Drosophila melanogaster: one gene and its partner. The protein of the gene in region 1 purifies or fractionates together with the protein of each later gene. This does not show direct contact. Each region holds a gene or a part of one and is shown on either strand. Other genes may lie near its edges. The genes, in order: Mef2 and twi.

The links.
Region 2: the proteins of Mef2 (region 1) and twi purify together in Drosophila melanogaster (affinity purification with western blotting, with the first as the bait; one study listed by BioGRID). This does not show direct contact.

Annotation. Positions count from the first base shown.
Region 1 is NT_033778.4:9,926,306-9,931,335, reverse strand, and holds the start of Mef2 (myocyte enhancer factor 2), read left to right. Parts: upstream 1-1,720; 5' UTR 1,721-2,436; intron 2,437-4,466; 5' UTR 4,467-4,849; intron 4,850-5,030. UniProt on the Drosophila melanogaster protein: Transcription factor that could be a key player in early mesoderm differentiation and may be required for subsequent cell fate specifications within the somatic and visceral/heart mesodermal layers.
Region 2 is NT_033778.4:22,983,601-22,988,564, forward strand, and holds the start of twi (twist), read left to right. Parts: upstream 1-1,773; 5' UTR 1,774-1,891; exon of another isoform or gene 1,892-1,929; coding exon of another isoform or gene 1,930-2,728; exon of another isoform or gene 2,729-2,949; intron 2,950-4,964. Other genes in the region: CG32834 (uncharacterized protein), read right to left, coding at 1-675; CG32833 (uncharacterized protein), read right to left, coding at 908-1,714. UniProt on the Drosophila melanogaster protein: Involved in the establishment and dorsoventral patterning of germ layers in the embryo.

The DNA of each region.
Region 1 (5,030 bases):
TCGCAACTTACAGTAAACAAGAAAATCTTTTAATATATTTTCTTATTGATTTAAATGCCATATGGTAATGGCTAATCACTAAAATTCTCGCTATTGGAAATATTTTTATTATGTATAAATAGACGCAAAATCATTTCCTATATGGGTTAGAACTATAGATGGCTGGAAAGTAGCCACAGCTTTTATTTGCCTCCCAGATGTGGACTAATCACATACAACGTTCCCAATTTTCCTGCTTTTATAAAAGTCGATTTTTGTAATAAACTCTATTGGGATCAAGTTGGGGTACATGTATCCCTACTTTATTATCTTTTCGCCTACATAACCTGCATAATAGAGCGTGTTTAAGGTAAATAATATCTCGCTTAACGCAACAATAGACAGGGTCTGGGTCACAGGGCTTTGGATCCCACTTGGCTGGCTGGCGGTCCGATTCACAAATTAAGCCCCAACTTCAGCCATACAACTACTTTACCTCTGTCTGAATAGGCAATCATCAATCGAGCAGAAACAATGAATCGTTGGTTGCCGCACACCCTAGGATCCTACGGGTCCTACTCTTTGTCCCTTCCGATTCCTTCCTGTTTGTTTTGTGTACCCGCCAGCAGACGAATTACAGGATATGTTGTATGTTGTATCGCACAAAATTAGGTAACAAATGAAAAAAGGATTTACGCTTTATTTTTTCTGAATCAAGTTCAACATTCTAGTTTACGTTCACATCGGAGCTAAGAAGCTAAACAGCTGTCACAATTCCAAAGTTAATATAACCTATTAAAAATGAAATTAATTTTAATGATAGTTATATCATACTTCGCGTTTCTAAAAGGCGTAACCACAGCCAGTAAGTATGCCCCATCTTTTGTAACAGGGTATCGAGTATATACTTACCTTTTTTTCTACTGCCAAACGCAGGTCAACAAAGTTTTTATTAAGCTGCGTCGAAGGGGAAAACTAATGGTGGGTGGGTGTTTATAGAGAGGATCCAGTGGCAAGGACAAATAAATAAAATACACACAAAAAAAAAACCAGATAGTGGGCAAAGCGGGAGGGGAGAGGTCCTGGCAGGGCAGGGAGATACGGATACAAAGGAAAACGGAAACCAAAGCGATGTTTAGCAGGGGTGTAGTTAATGGGGGTGGTGAAGTGGGGGATAATTAACATTTATGGGAGGTTGCCAGAGCGGGACAACAAGCTCGGCGAGGGAACTAACTGTAACTGTTGCTGATTGATCAAGTGTGTGGGTGAGTGTGCGTGTGTGTGTGTCTGGCTGGGGCACAAACAAAAACCATATGTTTCTCGTTCGACTCCCGCACGCACTCACTCACAAACCGAATTACTCACTCACCCCCACCAGCCCCACACTCTAACCCCCCGCCACCTCTCGCTCACTCTTGCTTTCGTTGTGAGTAGGAACTCAAAGTCAGCGGCTGCGCACTCTCTCCGTCTCTCCCGCTCTCCGATTGCCCGGCAATGTATGTGTGCGATATTCTGTTACACAAAAAGGCAAAAACAAAAGGCACCGTTAGAAGGTGTGCGCGTGTGAGTGAGTTCACCACGAAACGAAAATCCTCACCGCCAGCCTACGTATACGTGTTCGTTGCTGGCTGTGCGTGTGTGTGTTAGTGTGCGACTGCGAGAGAGCCTGGCGCAGTGCAGCTGTGTGCGGGCGTATCTGTGTGTGCGTACTTGGCGTTACGACGTCAACGACGGCATATCCGTCAGTACGTTTGTACGCGTCCGCAGCGCCGCTTCTTCAGTTTTTCGGTTTTCGGGATTTCGAGATTTTGAGATTTCGATTCGATTCGATTTCGGCAGATCAGTTTGCGATCCGTTTGCGAGTTCGATATTTTCATTCCGAGCCAACGATCCAACGATCCGATTCCGCTAGCGATTCACAACAGATAGAGATCCTATATCGAACGCCGCGAGAAATTATGCTGGCCCGCTGCTCTCGCACTACGCGCAATAATTTATTTTTACTCCATATAAACAAATTCAACGTCTATTTCCAAAAATAAATGGCAACAATAATAAAAATAACAACAGCCGTCGGACAATTATAAGTTTTTATTTTTAACTTTTATTTGCGCCAACCGCGGCCGCGACATCCCCGCCCCCGCCTGCCCGGACTTTGTTTATATTTACAAAAAGCTAAAGCACACGACAAACACAACAGCAAACATATCACTGACTGCATTTCGCCCCGATGTTTATCGAACGAGCGGCGTAAACAAAGCCAGAATTCAAACAATAATTCAATTTGCATCTCAATTGCAAAGATTTTCGTGTGTGTGCTCGGAAACATTTGTGCAAACACCTCGCCAGCGACCTGACATCCCCAGAAAAGTTCAAAACTCGTCGGTTTCTATTGAGTAGTGTATTTTTGAGAACATTTTTTCGAGAAAACGGAAGCTCAGCTAAAAAGCGATTCATGTAAGTTTATCTACTGCAATGAGGAATGTTTTTGGTTTGAAAACTAGTTTTTAAAACCAAAGTACCTTTGCGAAATGGGTAGAAAGATTTTCATTCTTGTATTAAGAATAATTTTTCCTGTTTGTGATAACCATTTGACTTATATTTATGAGCGTCATAAAATCCAATTGAATGCCTCATTACATTATAAGTGATTTTCGGTTAGTCATACTTTTGAGACACATTGTTAAATTAATTATAAATTATGAATTATAAAACCTAATTTTGGTTATCATATCCACCTTTGCTCATTGAGCTATTATTCCGCCCAAAGGCTTAGTAATTATTTACAGATCATCGATGGGCTGTAAACCCCTCCTTTCATATGCCGATAGGGCAATTTGATTATATATAATTTACAATTACAAAAACACTGGCAGCCGGCATGTCGGGAACCAAATAAGCAAGTTACCCATGCACACTGACGTCATCGCTGAGCCAAACGTTGGGATTCCGAAGAAAAAAAAAAGAGATATCGGCCGGGTTTTCGAATTGTGCCTCGCTGTCTTGATTCCAGTTCAAACAGTTCCCTTTCAATTGATATCATTCGATGTTTCAATTTCTTTTCTTGCGATTTAATGCTGAGAGTAGCTGCCATACACTCGGACGGGCGAACACGCACACACAAATACTATATACGTTCCACTGATAAGCGATTTTCGTATCAATATTGAGGGCCCGCGAGAACCGTACTCCTCCGGCGAAGTTCAAATCCATTTCCCTGCTATCAAGTTCTTTTGCATGTAGTTTTTATGGCCGACCGACCGACCAACCGACTAACTGACTGATTGACTGGCTGGCTGGCTGGCTGGCTGATTGGCGAATTTGCTGATAATTGTCTGCACTTTGTTTCAGCCAGCAGCAAATGCACAGAGAATTATATTTTCTCTTATCTCGCCTCAGGCAGCTGGACATGCGTGCAATGCACTTTGACACCTACGCAGGATCATAAGGGGGGTCGCGTGGGAAGGGAGTAGGGGAATTTCGTTTCGATCCAGGGAGCAGTGGGTTCAAATAACAAACAAAGCCATTCGAAGGCGATAATCACCGCAGATTTGCCGTGGACTTAGCCACGGCGATCGCCGATAAACGATTACGGTCATTCGGCATTGCAGAGCCTAGATAACGGGACCCCACCTCCGATCACGTTCACGTTCGGACCATCATCACGACCATCATTAACCTCCGAGATCTTTAACACTATTTGGTGTAGTCACGTTTGGGTCGCGTTTGTATTTTAAGTGTTCCATCAATAGAGAAATTATAATATTATTTATTTATTTTCTTTTTTGTATTTTAAGTGTTCCATCAATAGAGAAATTATAATATTATTTATTTATTTTCTTTATTATTTCATTATTATTTATCTCATTCTATAACAATTTAGTTATTTCCAATACCTAAAGCTTCATAAGTTAAGCGAAAAAATAAATGTTTTAACTGTTTTTTTTTTTTGGATGCCTTTCAATTAGTTTTGAAATTCAAAAATGACACACGATTCTGAAAAACTGCAAGTAAAATAAAGAATACAATCCATGAAGGAAAACCCACAAACGACATCTTATCAGGTCAAAATAATTTGTTGGCAAATTTTCAACGAAAAATAGTTGAGTTACGTTTGTTGTTGGCGTTTTCGGTGCTTGATAAAAAATTCGAAATCAAAATTTGTTTTATTTGCTCGTGTTTTTTTTTTTTTGCGGCCACTATCTGCCATCGAGAGCGAGAGTCTTTCTTATCACACGTGCGCATGTGAAGGTGCCCACGCTCACTGACAAGCCAAATGAAGCACAATCTGGTCGATGTGTTGGTGTAGTTATTAAAAAAATAAATGTTCCTTTGCCATTTGCCGTGTTTGCGGCTCTCGAGTGTCTGTGATAATTATGGTTATTGCCGCCGCGCTCCCCCACATATATTGTATATAAAAATAAAAATAATAATAATTATTATTATTATAACGATTTCTTTCTGTTTGCGCCTGTGTTTTGGTTTAGCTCCCTCCCCCACACTCCGCCCGCTTTTGCGGCTGTGTAGGTGCTGGCGATAAGATAGAAGTGCTCTAGGTGTACTTCTAGGTGACTCGGGGCCCGAGAACTCAAATTTGTTCGACTACCTTAACATGAGACGCGTGTTTCGGGGCGAAAAACAAAAACCTTGGATTCTTTTGCTTTTGCTGGCATTTCTGCAATCGAAATTGTTGATAAACGCGGTGCAGGAAGAGAGCCAGATATCGCGGAGCCAATGCGATTGCTTGCAAAAATATTGGAAATCGAAGTTTGCCGATATTTCACTTGCTTCAAACAGGCACATTTTATCTCAAAAGCATTTATCATTTGCCTTTAGCATTTACCACGAGCGTCGTATTCACAAAGTGTGTGTAAGTTGTGGATAATATTTTATAATATATAAATAATATACTAAAAATAGATGTAAATGTTAATAAGATATGAGGTAGTTTGAATTGAAATGTAGATTTTATGACAAGTTCATTTTAGTTTCTCAACTCGTCAGTTTTTAAAATCTATTCTTCAAACGCAATCCTATCCTCATCTCTTCGT
Region 2 (4,964 bases), about 13 Mb from region 1:
TTGTCCATCTATCACCAAGGGAGCTCCCGTATCGTAGGAGCATCCTCCGGCGCCATTATGAGTGCAGAGGGTAAGGTACGAGATGCCATTGTCCCAGAGTCCGAACCAAACACCGCGATCCGCGGCGCACTGCTCCCGATTGTAGACGCTGACCCATGCCATCTGCAGATAGTCCGGCAGACTGCCGAAGCACCTGTCCCACCAGCTGCCCCACCAACTGGTGGATCCCCAGCCGGAGACAGTGCACCACGAACCATCGTCCGGTTCATCCTCTGCTATGCTGATGGGCTGAATAGCTTCGGAGGTCTTGAGCGGATCGCACAACTTCAACAGTGCCAGATTGTTATCGAAACGCCAGCAATTGTACTGCGGGTGATTAATTATTTCACAGACTTCGAGCAGGAATCCAGTTCCATCATAATCGCGGGAACTGGTGCCCACGCGTACTTCAATTGAACCGTAGGACTGGACACACGAAGCTGCTGTGATGATGGTGTCTGATGTGATGATCGCCCCACTGCATATTGCTGTGCCATCTATTATTACTTCCGCCTGGTACGGGGCATCTTCAATATCCACATCATAACCTCCAATGATGCGGCTTTGGGCATCCAGATCACCACGAACCGGCCGTAAAAGAGCAGCCAACAGAAATAAGAACACACTCCAAATCATTATAAACAACTGATTTTTAGAGCTGCATGTGCGACTCTTTTTATAGGAAAAGTTAAGTCGTTTTCAAGGCTAGAGCTCCTTATCTGCAAAGTCATACCTCAAATTGAGTGATGGCTTTACTTCGAAGCTCTATCAAAATAGGAAGTATTGCGTATTACTTGCACTAATCTGCACATAGTCATAGCTCGAAGGCAAAGTATTTTTTAACAATTAATTGGGAGAACGCTTAAGTTTACTTTGTATGATTATGCAGCCAGTCCTTGTACTTTATAAGATTGATATAGACTTCTGGATACTCCGAACAGCCGCCTTTCGTTATAATGCCGACCAGTTTGCCATTGTGGACCACAGGTGATCCCATCGCTAAAGAGCAGGCTTCCTTAGCGAACTTCTCGGTGCAGAACAAGTCATCTGTAAAATTCTTTTTGGACCAATTGTTTCGCGCCCACAGATCTGTGCACTGGCTAGGGCCAAGTAGCTTCACCTCGGCCTTCTGCAGCTTGTAGGCTTCATCATCCAGACACTTCTTCCAATACATTGCCCACCACCTGAAGGAGGGCCACCCGTTGGCCGTGACCTTTGCCCCATTAGACGGAAGCTGGTTGGCCAACTGAATTGGCTGGATCGTTTTGGAGGCCTCGAGCGGTTCGCACAACTTTAATATGGCCACATTGTGAAATACTGTCTGGCCGGTGAACTTTTCGTGAACTGTAATGTTGCAGACTGCTACTTCGATGACTCCATCGCTGCGCGTAGTGCTACCCACTCGTACACGGATCACCTTGTTCAGGAATCCATCCACACATTTCCCGGCTGTCACAATGTGACTCAGTTTGTATATCGCTCCGTCGCACTTGGCCTTTTGTTTGATCGAAATGGAAGCAATCCATGGCGCTGTGGTTATGTTCACGGGATGACCACCAAGAGTCGTCCGGTTGCAGTCGTTTTCGTCGTCCTCTTCCGAATCTTCACCTGCACCCGTGTCACTTTTGGAAAGGACAAAGAGTGCAAGGAAAATTGGTAGAGATCGCAGAAGCATGATGCCAAATAAATGTGCATATAGCAGGCTGTTTAAATTTTATAGTATTGGCACAAAGCATAGCAAATTAATTTGTTTTACTTTACGGTGTGTTAAAATTTTTCTCACTTTAAGCCATTGTGCAATGTTCTTTATTCTGTGCTTTACAAATTCAAATATAGATCTACAGAAGGCAAGGTAATATTATCATTAAACTATTCACAGCAAGTAAGATATTAATCCTTCGTATTCGAGTCCAGCCAGTTCGTGTGCCCCAGGATATTTGCATAGACATCGGGCTTAATGGAGCAGCCCGCTCTGGAGAGGATGCCCACGAGCTTGTTGTCGATGACCAGAGGCGAACCCCTGTCTGTGGAGCAGGCTCCCTTGCCCGGCGACTTGGTGCAGATGGTCAGGTCTGAGATTCCCTTGAGTAAGTAAAATGGTATGACTTTCCAGTCGGCGGCGCACTGTTTTTGGCTAAGGATCCGCACTTGAGTGCCGTGCAATTGGACAGGCAGCTGGAAGCACTTCTCTTCTATTCCGCTGCTAATCCTCTAAGTCTAAGATAAGGTCAAGGAAATTGCCTGATCTGCCACCACAGCCAGTCACATTGGCTCGAGAATTATCATCCGGCACTTTGTCGGCCCTCTCAATTGGCTTTATTTCATCGGTGGTGTTGAGTAGCTCGCAGGTTTTCAAGAGAGCCAAGTTATTGTCAAAGCGCCAGCTGGAGTACTGGCTATGAACTTTGACCTTACAGATTCCAGCAATTGATCCACTAGTGCCGCAGCTGCTGGTTCCCAACCTGACTTGTATGCTCCTGGCGCTGTAGCCATCCACACACTTGGCGGCAGTCAGGATGTAGTTCTTCGAGATAATGGCACCACCGCACTTGAGCTTCGAATTGACTATGATGGAGGCATACCACGGTGCATCCTTAATGTTGACAGTGTTTCCGTTTATGATCCGCTGATCTCCGAGAGCCAACCAAGGCAGAGCCACAATCTGCAGGAGGATTAGTGGGGCTAACATTCTCTTTAACTGACTTTCGTGAAGGGCGTGCTCCTCTTTTTATGGGATTCTTTGTTAATTAAACGGAATAGCTTTGGAATACTCTTCTTATCTACCTTTCGAAGAATCTATTTTGTAATGTAAGAAGAATATGTATTACAATGTATTACAATCCATATTGGCATTTGAAACATTTTGAATGATAAATACGCCCTGTGCGCAATCGATTGAATATAAAACCGAACTATTATACGTTCAATTGCCAATTGGGGTAATCCACATATATGCCCAAATTATAAAGTATAATTTAAGCAGCCGCATCGATTCTTTTCGCTTAGAGCGGCTTTGTACCCGTCCTCCGATTTGAGACAAAACTCACCAGCCATTACACTAAGCCGCTTAAATATTTGAATAATTCCTGCAGAGTAAAAAAAACGTGGGTGACTGAAATATAGCTGGACATTTCCATCAAGCGATATTTGCATGTATTTATGCAATTTTACATGAATGCAGATTTAAATCTGGGCAATGTTTAGCAAAATGTCGAAATAAATACTTTCATGGAGGAAAGTGGCAGGAGAGAGCTGGCGAGGGGCAAGGGGCATGGGGCATGGGGCAAGTAAACAAACATTTTGATGATTCGCCATGTCAAGTGGGTCGGTTTCGCAGCCAGGCAGGCGGATTAAAATGGATTACAACTGAATTATTTGATAATGTCCCAGCAGATGCAACACATCGCATTGCTTTCGCCCCGAATCGCATTTAATTTTTATCAATGTGAAAATCATTTTTGGTTGCTGGGTTTTTTATTACCATTTTATTGGGTTTTTTCGGCGGGCTGAATCGTGTTTTCAATTTGCCCCTGGATCTACGTTTTCTTTTGTCAAATATTGTTTGGGTGTGCTTTTTTTAGCTCTATTTAATTGATTTTATTTACGCAAAATCAGGAAAGCTTGCTCGCTTTATACGAGGCTTTAATTAATTTAGTTAATGGGATATATTCGCGTACTATTCATGATCTTTTGTTAAACTGTTATGCTTGAAAAAAAAGGATTAATTATGTTAAAAGCAAGTGCCTTTCTCACCATTTTATAATATTCAACAGATTTGCTAAGCAAGGCCACTTTTCAAATGACCTCAATTGGTTTTTTTTGCTGGCCTAATGAATATTTCAGTTTTGGCAACATCGCTAACGCCATAGACGTCCATCGATGGCCATTTCCAGCTCGATCCAGCTGCTCCTCCATCTCAATCAGCCTTTGGCTCATACATAACCCAGTAAATCCTTTTCCAGCTCGATGGCATCGTTGCCAATTTTCACACCAGCGACAATTACTCAAACCGTTGGCAACAACAAAAACATGGGTTACCACTGTCCTCGTCCTCGCTCCCTTTTCCCTGACCCGCTTTTCCCGGACTTTTCCCGCCCGCCCCCGCAGTCACAGCTCGCCACTCGGAATCGAGGGAGCCGGCAAAACAATCGTTGACAAAAATATTTGCATGCACTCTGGGTGCACTTGTCCGAATCGCCGTGCTGGGGATGCAGCTGCTCCTCAGCGCTGCTGTGCCGCGTGTGTTGCCATCGGCGGCGGCGCATTAAATATGCAACACCTATGACAGCAAGCCGCTTGACATTTGGATCCGAAGGCACGGGACTGGAGACCCATTCCAGTTTTAAGCTGGAACTAAAGTTTTGCCGACAATTTGCAGCTAAATTTGTCAAAAAACCAGAAACTTGGCCGGCTGAGAAATTATGACTTCCGCAATTGTTGGGTGGAACAAAGGGAATCCAGCGCAGTGCCAAAGTGTGACCGACCCGAAACAGTTCAAAAGGCAACTGTTGCTCTTGAACCTTTGGAAAATCCACCGCTTCAAATGCCGTTACACCCCCCGCCCCCCACACACGGCAAAGTTTTCAAATAGAAAATGTTTAATTTCCCCAAAGACAACGTCGATGCTGCTGCTGCTTTCCCGAAAACGCAGCGTTTTCCCACCCAGGCCAAGGAAACTTTCTTACATATTTTACAATAGATCTTCGTGTGTGTGAGTAAGAGTGTGTATGGGTGTGTGTGTGTGGGTGGGTGCAACAGTGCAGCCGAAAAAGTTTCTCCTTTCCCGGGCGGAAAGTTAGCTAAGACAAACGCCCCGAAAATACCCACATCGCTCAGTTGCCAGCGCCCATCGCTGAGCTTCCGGGTCGAACTTGTTAGTTTGCCATATAGCGTCGAAAATTATATTATTTTAAACTTTTCAAATG